Linked DNA regions of Tribolium castaneum. The main gene of each other region encodes a partner of the protein of the gene in region 2 in a complex. Links are inferred from orthologs where the notes say so. Each region holds a gene or a part of one and is shown on either strand. Other genes may lie near its edges. The genes, in order: dynein regulatory complex subunit 3, Gas8 and dynein regulatory complex protein 8.

Region 1 (4,452 bases), on a different chromosome or scaffold from region 2:
CTTAAATTATTTTCAAGTATATAGAAATTATCTCAAAAATAATTTGTTATCCAAAAAACCCCAAGATCTTTTAGTACTGAAATTGTTGGTAATACTTTCGAATTAAGTTTATACTAGAAGTTGAGGGTACTATCTTTCTGCAGAAATTAATCAGTTGGCATTTATCCGTATTTTTTTTAAGTTTCAAAAACTAGGTAGGTAAAATCATTATTAAAAATGCAAGGAAATATAACGAAATGTTTTATTAAGGAAACTCACCAAGGAAACATATTTTTATCTCAACATATTATGTGATGCAATTAGTATTATGATTTTTTTATAGACTTTTTTGGCATTTTTGTATTTAAGGCTCAATTATATATTTTGTAAAAATGAGTTTTTATTTCAGGACCTCACTAACAATCTCCAAAAAGATTACGAATATGTGGCGAATTACGTAGCTCAGGACAGTGTGCAAAAGGGGTTGGAAATGTATCTGCAATCATTGAAGCAGAAACAGAAATAAGGATATTATAAGTTGATATTCTTTTATATAATGAAGTGTAAAATTTATTATCCAAACCAAGAATATGTGTAAGTACTTTTGTAAAAATAAAGTATATTTTACTATCTTACTTATTCCAAGGCTATAACGTCATCCTTGAGATCAGGCGCGTATTCCTTATTCAAATCCTCAAACTCCTGCCTTTGGATTTCAAGAAAGTGGTTAATTTCCAGCACTTTCCCCCTGTTTCGCTTGATCTCATTCCTACAAGTTGTGGATATTTTTCGGGAAAAGTAAAGGCATAACTTACGTGTTTAAATCGTCGATTAAATCATTTAGCCAATCCTTGGCGTTCGAAATGAGAGTGTCTTCTCTCGCATCGATAATCTGCATGTGCATATCGTGACTTGTTGCCAACGCGTTGTGCAGAAGATCCTTATCTGCCATAAGCTGTAATCTCATTGAAATTATTAATAAAGCAAGTGCCGGAAGTTACCGGTTTAAGAACTGCGGGAACTTCGATTTCCTCATTCAAATTGGCATTTGTTTGAAACTTTGTGGCCAAATCGCCGATATTTTCAGCGTAGCTCACTTCCAGCTCTCTGATCTGCGTAAAGAAAGCCTGCGACGATTCAATGAAATTATTAACGAGTTCTGTGATGTTGTGTTCGAAAGTTTGGTTGACTTCTTCCATTTGTTCGTAAAGTTCCAGTTCCAGTTTCATTAGCGCTTTCCAAACTTCGTGCAACATCTCGTCGTACTCCACCACGAAGACGTCGCATTTGTCGATAAACTCGTCGTAATTTATTTCGTTTGAGTTCAGCTGGTTTTGCACGTTTTTGATTTTGAGGAACAGTATTGCCTTCTTCTCCAGGAAGATCTCCATGTGTTTCTACGGACGAAATTTGGGGCTATAAGTAAATTCGAAAGGGGGCGTACAATGCTTTCGTCTTGATTGTCCTTATTTGCGTCTTCGACGCATTTTAAGAACTGGTCCTGTTCGGTTTTGCGCAGGATGTACTGTTGTTGCCCATTTTCGAATATTTGTTTACACAGTTCGATGAAGTTCTCCTCGTACTCGTCGTAGAATTCTTGCGCGTCTTCGCCGATTTTCATCAAGTTCATGCCGTCGGTGTCGTTGGCAAATAAAGAGTCGAACAAATGGCGAGTGTTTAAATACTCCACGAAACTAGAGGCGTGAAGTTCGGCATCGGCCAACTCTTGTTCCTTTATCGCAGTGATTTCCCGTTCCTTCTCCTCTTTCTCCAACAATGCTCGCAGTTTTGCACTAAAAAACTCTCCTACTGATGTTCACTTAAACAATTTTAGCTAGAAACCTGAAAGTTTCGTGTCCAAGTTCCCGTTCCGACTCGTATATTAATTTATATTCGTAGTAAACGAGTTGTGGCAGAAAAACTGCAATAAATAAACGAAAATCTTCATCCTCGGCACAGGGATTCCCCACTAGATTTAACGATTTTAAATTGCCGAATCGTCGCAAATACAGAATCTATAAAATATTTGTGTATTCTAGAACACAATTATTTTTCGTAATACATTGTCCAAGTCGTCAATTTTGTTTCTTCCAATGCTAAAAACTGTTAATTTTGTTAAAGTGTCCATGTTCTCCAAAACCGTGATTTCGTTATCATACAGACTCAGCTTTTCAAGGTTGCGAAGCTCGTCTAAATTTTCGATTTTAGCTATTTTATTGAATGATAAATTTAGTTCAGTTAAGTTCACCAGACTTTCCAAATTTTCGATTTTTTCCAGTAAATTATTGTTGAGATTTAATTTCGTTAAAGATGTCAGCACCCACAAGTGGTCAATTCTTAAGATATCTACGGATAGGGACACAGAAAGTCGGGTTTAAATTTTACAAGAATTGTTACTCAGAAATTCTAAGCGAATCTCGGTGACGTCTTCAAGGGGGATTTTTTCGATCTCCGCCAAGCGACCCGCTTCACCCTTGGGGCCCTGGTCTTTGATACATTTCTCCAGAAGGGCATTGTCTATTACTTTTGGCTCTTTCAATTTACAAGGATTCATTTTTACAAATTTTCATTAGGCACACTAAATCGATACAAATACCTTTTCAAGCATTCTTGAAATTATTGATGTCACAATGACTGTTGTTTAAGTACCTTATTGTTGCTATGGACTTGAGAAATCATGAATCTTTGAGTTTGCCGAGCTTGTGCTCTTGAGTTTTATTATTTTTCATTGTGAAATTATATCAATTACAAAAAACTCTTTACAGGTAGATTATAACGTCTAAGTAGATAAAAATAGCCCAGAGAGGGTTTTTGGAGTAAAAAAATCTTTACAATTAAGAGTTTGCGAAATTGTAGTCGAGGCGAAGCCGAGTGCTGATACCGCAACTTATAAAAAAATACTCAAAATTGTAAAATTACGTTGTATTCTGTATCAAAGAAGAAATGACAACAGCACAGTTATAAATGCAGAAATGCTCGCTTTGGTAGTATATTACGTGAAAGAACGGAAAAATAACATAAAAAAAGAACTTTAAATTGTGAACCGCACCTCGTATAATTTTTGATCACGTGACACATGTCTGACGTCTTTTTATTCAGAAGTTTACACAACTTGGGAATGAAAAGATCAATAAATTAGAAAAACAGTGACTAACACACCAACAAGCGCGTCATGCAGTTTATTTGTTTGAAATAAAATTGTTATTTTCGTCGGAAAATTTTAGATTTAGGAGCGGAAGTATTGCGCAAGCGCCGCAGTGTTTTCTTGTTTTGACAAGTGACAGTGACAGAAGTCAAGTGACAACAAGAAAGTGCAATCGTGAAATTTAATTTAGAAATAAAAAATGTCTTTTTTTGGAACTGCATTAGGAGGAAATCCCTTTTCGACGCCCGTAGGATCGCGAATTGGTGAGTCCCGCTTGGCATTGCCGGATTTCATTTAATTTTTTTCCGTTGTTAAAATCGATTTAATAAAACGTAAATAGAACTAGAAACCGGTGCTGGCACTGTATTTTATTGTTTAGATTACATTGTTTATCACTTTTGTTGGCTGATTCACCTATATCTATTCATCAGACTGTTTAATTACTGTTTCTGGTAATAATTCTAAGGTACTTCGTCATCGCTGTCTGTGTAGGTGTAGGTTTTTGCATTTACATTTTGTTTGTCACAACTACAGCGTGGTTTTTATTTCGTACCAAATTTGTTTATAATTATTTACCAATAGGTGTGACTTATACTACTCTACATAGGCTATCAACTGAGACGTTTTATGCTTTCTTCACGGGGTCCTATGGAAATTTGTCTATTTAAACCTATTATTAAAAAAATACTTTGCGTTATCGGTACAATAATCTCTTATGTATGTCACAACAGTTAGGAATAATACCGCTGTAGTACCCACATTCTTTGATAATTTTATGGGCAAAACGTAGTTGAAATATTTTTCATCGTTGCTTTAAAATAAATATACATATGTATTTATGCTAATTCAGATCAGTTAATTAATTGGAACTATTTTTGCGCGTTCTTAATCACCTTAGAATAAAAATAACAATATAAATTCTTTTCTATCGCCTATTTACATGAATAATTCAAGTGTAAAATAGAGCAACAAGAATTTTCGAAAATGACCAATAACATAGTAATAATAAGTCCATAAACAATCATTCAACAATGTGTTGTGAGACATTGGTAAATATTTAAGTAATGAACCAGACATATTTTTTTCAGATAAAATTTTAAAATGTTTGGCTAACAAAAAACAACGTCCTCTCCAAAACTTTTCTTTACAATTATTATAATTAATTGTGATTACTGCAGCGTGCACCACATTTATTTAAGTGATTAGATTTAATTATTAAAATGGATGTGAACCTAGTCATTTGGTAAATTAAATTGTACTACAAAATTAATAGTAAAGTTAATTTGTACGTAAAATGTTGCAATAGCATGCAACTGTATGGGCGAGGC
Region 2 (4,411 bases):
TCATTGTAATAGTTCTTCATTTCATTGAACACTTTCTCGTGATGTTTTGTCAAATCAGTAATTTGGTTATTTTTGCGCTCTTCCAGCTCCGACATTTCCATCCTACAACAAATATGGTAAATAATGTAAAAAACTTGCACATTTATTCCTTGATTACGTATGTTTGATGTTTAATTCTTGTTTCAGGTCAGCAAATTTTTTTTCGTATTTATTTTCCAGTTCTTTTTCTTTCAGTTCGAATTGGTTTCTGATGGTGCTTATCTCTTCACTATGTTGCTAAAAACAATTATTTTTTTATTGGTAATATTTTAAGCCTTTTTTTATATCTCAATCCTAGATTATAAACATTATTTTAAAGCACGCTTCCCATAGCAACGTGTTTTAAAAAATAAAATGTTCCAACAAAAAAAAATTGAATAACACTCATACGAAAACGCTTAAAGTTCTCGGGTGTCTAGGTATGCAACTCGCATATGCTCGTTGCATAATGACAGCCCTCTAACTTTAAGCTTGTGTTTTCGCACTCGTATTATTAATAACTATTTTTTGTTGGTAACATTTTAAGCCTTCTTTTTAATATCAGAATCATAAATCATAAACACTATTCTAAAACACGCTTCCCATAGCAACGTATTTTAAATTAAAATATTTCAACAAAAAAAAATTGAATAACACTCATACGAAAACGCTTAAACTTCTCGGGTGTCTAGGTATGAAACTCGCATACGCTCGTTGCATAAAGAGGGCTCTCAAACTTTAGGCTTGTGTTTTTGGACTCTTATCATTAATAACTATTTTTTTTTGGTACTATTTTAAGTCTTTTTTTTAATATCTGAATCCTAGATTATAAACATTATTTTAAAACACGTTTCCCATAGCAACGGGTTTTCGCTATTTTAAAACACGCTTTTTATAGCCACGTGTTTTAAATTAACATATTCTCAGGTGTCTAGGTATGTAACTTGCATACGCCCTCAAACTTTAAGCTTGTGTTTTACTCTTATTATTAATAACTATTTTTGTTAGTAACATTTTAAGCCTTCTTTTTAATATCTGAATCCTAAATTATAAACACTATTCTAAAACACGTTTCCCATAGCAACGTGTTTTCGTTATTTTAAAACACGCTTCCCATAGCAACGTATTTTAAATTAAAATATTTCAACAAAAAAAATTGAATAACACTCATACGAAAACGCTTAAACTTCTCGGGTGTCTCGCATGCGCTCGTTGCATAAAAACAGCCCTCAAACTTTAAGCTTGTGTTTTCGGACTCTTATTATTAATAACTATTTTTTTTATAACATTTTAAGCATTTTTTTAATATCTGAATCCTAGATTATGATCATTATTTTAAAACACGTTTCCCATAGCAACGTGTTTTCGTTATTTTAAAACACGCTTTTCATAGCAACGTGTTTTAAATTAAAATGTTCCAACAAAAATTTTTAAATAACACTCAAACGAAGACGCTTAAAGTTCTTGGGTGTTTAGGTATGCAACTCGCATATGCTCGTTTCATAACGACAGCCTTCGAACTTTGATCTTGTGTTTTTGCACTCGTATTATTAATAACTATTTTTTGTTGGTAACATTTTAAGCCTTCTTTTTGATATTAGAATCCTAAATCATAAACACTATTCTAAAACACGTTTCCCATAGCAACATGTTTTCGTTATTTTAAAACACGCTTCCAATAGCAACGTATTTTAAATTAAAATATTCCAACAAAAAAAAATTGAATAACACTCATACGAAAACGCTTAAACTTCTCGGGTGTCTAGGTATGAAACTCGCATACGCTCGTTGCATAAAGAGGGCTCTCAAACTTTAGGCTTGTGTTTTTGGACTCTTATCATTAATAACTATTTTTTTTTGGTACTATTTTAAGTCTTTTTTTTAATATCTGAATCCTAGATTATAAACATTATTTTAAAACACGTTTCCCATAGCAACGGGTTTTCGCTATTTTAAAACACACTTTTCATAGCAACGTGTTTTAAATTAAAATGTTCTAACAAAAAACAGGCATACGAAAACACTCGGGTATCGCATACGCTCGTTGCATAACGACAGCCGTATTATTAATAATAATAACTATTTAAATTCAAATAATCATAGGTACCAGTTTTAAAGCTTTGACTTGATCTTGATGGGCGACTTCTTGTTCCCGCATTTGCGCTTTCAAATCTCGCTTATCTCGCAACAATTCTCTTTCCTGTTCAGTGTGGTCATCTTGTGACATTTTCAGCGAAACAAGCGCTTCAGCTTTACATTCTGTTAAGTTGTTTTGGTGTTCGTATTGCAAATGTTTGACTTTTTGCTTGTAAAATTTCAGTTCTTCTTCGTTTTTCTCAGCCGCTTCCTCAATCTGTCGGTCTTTGTTTCTACAAATTTTTATTCTAGTGTTTGTTTTTACAAATTTTTAATTTTTGCACCTGAGTTTTGCTTTAGCTTCTTCAAGTTCATTTTTTGTGATTTCCCAAAACGTCCGTAATTTATCTCTTTCGAGTTGAAAGAAATTTCGTTCTTCTCTTTCTCGTTCGTTTTCCTCTTTTATTCGGTGGCAGAAGACCTCGAGCTGCTCTCGGGTCATTTGAGTTGTGTCCACTCCATCGATGATATTTCCCGAACCGCCTTTTCCTTTTCCACCTTTCTTTTTGGGAGGCTGGAAAATTTTAATTAGCGAAAATTCAAACAATTATTAAAATACTGAACCATTTTACGAAGTGAAAGTGAATGAACTAGCTAGCAGTTCTTCAAGAAACTATTTGTTTAGATGGTTACTACCCGCGTATCGATTTCTTTGGAATGGACTTATTTTAAGGGAGAATTCTGCCCAATGAGTCAATGACACTAAAAATATTCTGTCAGAAAATTTGGCATCTAAATGACTATTTAGAAAATGTGTCGGAGTGACAAAAAAACTTGTGAAGAATTAATCTTTTATTTGTTATTTCTTATTAAACCAGTAATTATTAAAATCGGATGCACAAAACTTTATTTTTATAACCTAGTATACTACAGTGTGAATTATGGAGGACTATTTATTAGTTTGGAGACGAAACGAGACAGAAAATCGCAGAAATTTCTGAACTTAAAAAAATAGTACAGCGGAGAAAAAATGAGGGCGCTTCAAGCGATTTTAAATTAATTTAAATCCAACCAACTCACTCATTACTTGGAAAAAATGCAGAAATGTTAAGCTCTGCACTCTTAACAAAAACTGACGACTAAAATTTTCATAACAAACATGAGAAAAAATTATTTAAGATTTAAAATTGGGAAAAAATTTCAAATGAATTAAATTTCCTGTAAAGAAGACCGCCAGACCATATTTCTAACGTCATCGGTTTATGCCTTGAAGACGCTGAACCAAGTGTAGGTATAAAGTTAATTATTACAGGGTGAGTCAATAGTGGGTTACTTCTAACATGTCCTAAAATGCAACCAAAAATACTAATTGCACGTACGACTTGGAATTTGATTTTTAAAACATTATTTAAATTAACACTGGTTTTTTATCATTTAAATAATAATAATCTATAACAAAATCTATAATGAACTGTCAAGACAAACTTGACACTATCCAGAACAATGTAATCTTGGATTAAATTAATTTTTTTAACAATTACCCATCTGGTCAGCAGGAATCGCTATTATTGGTTGCATATTTATAGAAATTTAGAAACAACCCACTTTTATCCACTATGTATACAGGATGTATCAAAAATTCGTGTGTTAATTTTAACACGTAATAAAACTCATCAAAGAGAACAACATTTCTATATAACATTTTGCAAAATTGTTATTTATAATTTTCTTCGTTTTCCTCCTTTCTTTTGTGCAAACGAGTCGGTCAGTGTTTAATAATTATTGCATTCATGGCAACCATTTGCATTGTTGTTTTAAATTGTTTAAATTGTCCGTTTCTATCACAACGAAAATAGTTCAGTTCACTTATTTTTGTACTTATAGATGAGTACACGTTTCAGTATGTTATCTTTTTTCAAATTTTGAGTAAATTTGCAAATTTTTTATTGAAAAATTACAAATAGAAAAGATGTTTTATTTGTTGAGCTCTATTACCTGTTAAAATTAAGACACGTATTTCTGATGCACCCTGTATAAACTGTAGAAGATAGAAATATGGTGTCAAGTACTTTTTTTACAAAAAATTCAGTTCCGTATTCCCAGTGTTTTGATAAATATGCGCCGGTGCGCAAAGAATTATTGCTTTGAATTATCAACTTGCGTTCCACCTTATATTTTTGAGAACGTAGTAAAAACGGTTAAAGATACCAAAAATGTGTAAGGAACAAAGTTATAGAGAATTAAATTTTCTACAAAAAAACTGCAACACCATATTTCTATTAATAATGGTTTATGTATAATTTAACATTCCAAGATC
Region 3 (3,017 bases), on a different chromosome or scaffold from region 2:
TCTTGGGTACTCCGTAATTATAATAAAACAATAATATTTATGTTTTAATTAGATTTTTGTAAGCGACCGGTAACATTAATTGTATAAACCCCAAGTAAACTACGCCAATGCACACGCTGTAGCGGACCATTTCATCGATAAATATGAACATCGCGAGAGCGCTACGACGAGTCGGCTGATCGGTTGTGGCCTCATGGCCACCCCCTAAAATTTCCTCACACTGGTAATTACTTACCGGCCTTTAAAAGTTATACCTACCGTATTTTCGAACAGAAGGAGTAACTATTTATCAGTAACAACACAGAAATATTTCTTTATTCTTTATTAATGTTCACTGAAACCACCTAATAAAAGGAAACTTGCCTTAATTAAATAACAAGAAGATAAATTAAGCTTATTTTTCAATGGCGCCCCCATTAGTGCTTGTTTCTTAATCCAGCTGCAAAAAATAATAAATTAATAACACATTACTTACAGGCCTTATGGAATCAGCTAATGCTTCAAAGTGAAGACTTCACAACAGCAACAGTAGCCCAAGCTACCAAACAGAAAGATACAGTTTTCGCAAAATTGTAAATTAAGCAAGAAGATTAAATAATAAACAAGGTGGAAGTTTGGAGTGTTTTATAATTTAAAATTCAGGAACGGACAAATCATGCAGGAACTCGGACAGCCTTCGAGGTGGAGGAGGAGGAGGTGGAGGTGGATTTTCCTCAAGAACACGATCAGCTAACTTATAGATATCTTTCTCTCCTTCAGGTTCGTGCTATTAAAAATAACGTAGTGCAATATTTGCAAAAATAAAAATTAGGTACCATTAGCTGATTGATGTAATATTCATAAGGCACAGTTTGAGTGTGTGGGTCTATGGCTATTTCCAGCATTTCGTCGAGTTCGTCTTGGGTAAAGGGCTCACCATCTTGCGTCATAAGCGTGGAAATGCGTTCCTTTGTTAAAAAACCTTTACCTTCATTATCTAGCACTTGGAACGCTTCTAAAAGTTGCGCGGGACTTGCAGGCTGATACCTGCGAATGAAAATTTCGTTTTTTGGCGATTAAATTTTGGTGATACTTGTGTTCAGTGATGATTTGCGACATGTGGGGTAAAAAATTAGACAAGTGTACACTTCCGGGAGATTCGGGGTTTTCAACAGCCATCAAAATTTCCTGAATTTCTGCCTCAGTGGGGCAACAACCCAAGGCACGTACGATCGTTGCCACTTCTCGAACATCGACTGTTTTGTTACCTGCGTGGTCGAAAACTTCAAACGCGTCGGCAATTCTGCGCTCCAAGTCATTATTAATAGGCACTAAAAAAACGTGTTGGTTTTTTGGAAAAAGACGAGTTTTTGACAAAAACCATGAATTTCTTCTTCTTCGTCTTCCAACATTTTAACAATTTTGATAATCGTTAAGGTTTAAACAGTTGACGGTCTCCTAGCGACAGTTTTGGTTGCTAGGTGATTTGAAGTGTTGGCAGTTGTACCACTTGCATATTTTTTTGGTAAAAATCACCAATAATAATAATTACTCTTAATTAAAAATAACATTAAAAAGTAAAAATGCCATATTTATGTTGCACAAATTACGAATGACAAAAAACAGTGTAAATAAAATAAATACACAAATATTATTCAAATTCTCTTTACCAGGTGATTATTCAAAAATTGCGATTCTTGTCAGGTTGGTGACAAATTTGAAATCTTAATATAACAAGCCACCATGAAGGCCAATAATTCAGTGTTACTAATAGGTTTTTTTGTCACAGTCTTTAATAGTCACTCTGTAGTAGATTCTACTTTGCAGTTTTTCAAGATTTTCCTTTAGTTTCGTTTAAATTTCTTCCAGATTATTCTTTAGCTTTCTGTACTCTTCTTTAGATTATTTTATAAATCCATCTTCTCTAGATTCTTCTTTCAAATCCAAAATTGTTTTATTAACACTTTTACATTTTTTTGACATTATCCAAATTTAAGATTCTTGTCTGCGTCGTTTAAAATTCTTCCAAATTATTTTTTAGTCTGTATTATTATTTTATTTATGTACTTTTTTTTACATTGTTCATAATATTCTTCTAAATTTTTTTGTAGAGGAGACTCTAGGTATCTGTAGATACGTCTTTAGAATTATTTTCTAGACTCTAATCAAAATTATTTTATACACTTTTTTTCAAATATTTTTATCCAAATTTTCTTCTAGATTCTACTCTGTATCTTTCCAAAATTCTTCTACAGTTTCGTATAGAATTTTTCTCTTGAAATAATCTTATTAGGTTATAATCTTCTTTAGGTTACATCTTTAGATTCGGTTATAAATTCTTCTGTAGTTTCCTTTACAATTTTTCCAAATAATTTTTATTAATTCTGTAGTCTTCTCTGGATTTTTTTTTCATATACTTTTCTAATTCTTTTCTTTTCTTTTTTTCCTAAATAAGCCTAATTCTAGATCTGAAATATAGATTCTTCTTTCGATTATTGTATAAATTCACGAATTTTTCACGTTTTTTAAGACAATTATTAGGTCTGCTTTGTTTGAAAATTCCTTTGTACTTTCGTTTCGAATTTTTCTAAATTATTTTTTGGCATTATTTGTTTGTCTACTCTTTTTTAGATTGTTTTTAAAATAAGTCTCAAATATTTTAAAAAATCGTTTCTAAACCTAAAATTGGAACTTTTTAAATTATTTTATAAATCCATCTCCATATACTTCTTTAGAAATTATTTTCTATACTACTCAAAATTATTTTATAAACTCTTTTAATTTTTTTTATCCAAAACCTCTCCTAGATTGCACTCTGCATCTTTTCAAAATTGTCCTACAGTTATGTATAGAATTTTTCTCTCGCAATATATTTTTATTCTTTAGCATTGTTTTTGTACTCTTCTCTAGATTTTTCTTGAGATCCTACTCGAGTTCTTTTTTGAAACCGTTTGTAGATCTGAAATCTGGATTCCTCTTTACATTATTTTAGTAAATCCATCTTTGGATGCGCTATTAAATTCCTCTGTAGTTCCCTT

What was found.
Region 1: Gas8 (region 2) and dynein regulatory complex subunit 3 share a complex: the UniProt entries of both Homo sapiens proteins name them as parts of the nexin-dynein regulatory complex. The link is inferred for Tribolium castaneum from reciprocal best matches to the Homo sapiens genes DRC4 and DRC3.
Region 3: Gas8 (region 2) and dynein regulatory complex protein 8 share a complex: the UniProt entries of both Homo sapiens proteins name them as parts of the nexin-dynein regulatory complex. The link is inferred for Tribolium castaneum from reciprocal best matches to the Homo sapiens genes DRC4 and DRC8.

Annotation. Positions count from the first base shown.
Region 1 is NC_087394.1:30,246,431-30,250,882, reverse strand, and holds dynein regulatory complex subunit 3, read right to left. Parts: upstream 2,909-4,452; 5' UTR 2,534-2,908; coding exon 2,377-2,533; intron 2,326-2,376; coding exon 2,042-2,325; intron 1,995-2,041; coding exon 1,822-1,994; intron 1,773-1,821; coding exon 1,424-1,772; intron 1,377-1,423; coding exon 981-1,376; exon of another isoform or gene 935-980; coding exon 795-934; exon of another isoform or gene 749-794; coding exon 616-748; 3' UTR 524-615; downstream 1-523. Other genes in the region: enoyl-CoA delta isomerase 1, mitochondrial, read left to right, coding at 389-505; TOM1-like protein 2, read left to right, coding at 3,324-3,387. UniProt on the Homo sapiens protein: Component of the nexin-dynein regulatory complex (N-DRC) a key regulator of ciliary/flagellar motility which maintains the alignment and integrity of the distal axoneme and regulates microtubule sliding in motile axonemes.
Region 2 is NC_087400.1:9,427,119-9,431,529, reverse strand, and holds the start of Gas8 (dynein regulatory complex subunit 4), read right to left. Parts: upstream 2,909-4,411; 5' UTR 2,722-2,908; coding exon 2,719-2,721; intron 2,669-2,718; coding exon 2,439-2,668; intron 2,388-2,438; coding exon 2,126-2,387; intron 277-2,125; coding exon 158-276; intron 103-157; coding exon 1-102. UniProt on the Homo sapiens protein: Component of the nexin-dynein regulatory complex (N-DRC), a key regulator of ciliary/flagellar motility which maintains the alignment and integrity of the distal axoneme and regulates microtubule sliding in motile axonemes.
Region 3 is NC_087394.1:7,332,941-7,335,957, reverse strand, and holds dynein regulatory complex protein 8, read right to left. Parts: upstream 1,527-3,017; 5' UTR 1,392-1,526; coding exon 1,361-1,391; intron 1,311-1,360; coding exon 1,073-1,310; intron 1,027-1,072; coding exon 816-1,026; intron 767-815; coding exon 632-766; 3' UTR 610-631; downstream 1-609. Other genes in the region: delta(3,5)-Delta(2,4)-dienoyl-CoA isomerase, mitochondrial, read left to right, coding at 478-576. UniProt on the Homo sapiens protein: Component of the nexin-dynein regulatory complex (N-DRC), a key regulator of ciliary/flagellar motility which maintains the alignment and integrity of the distal axoneme and regulates microtubule sliding in motile axonemes.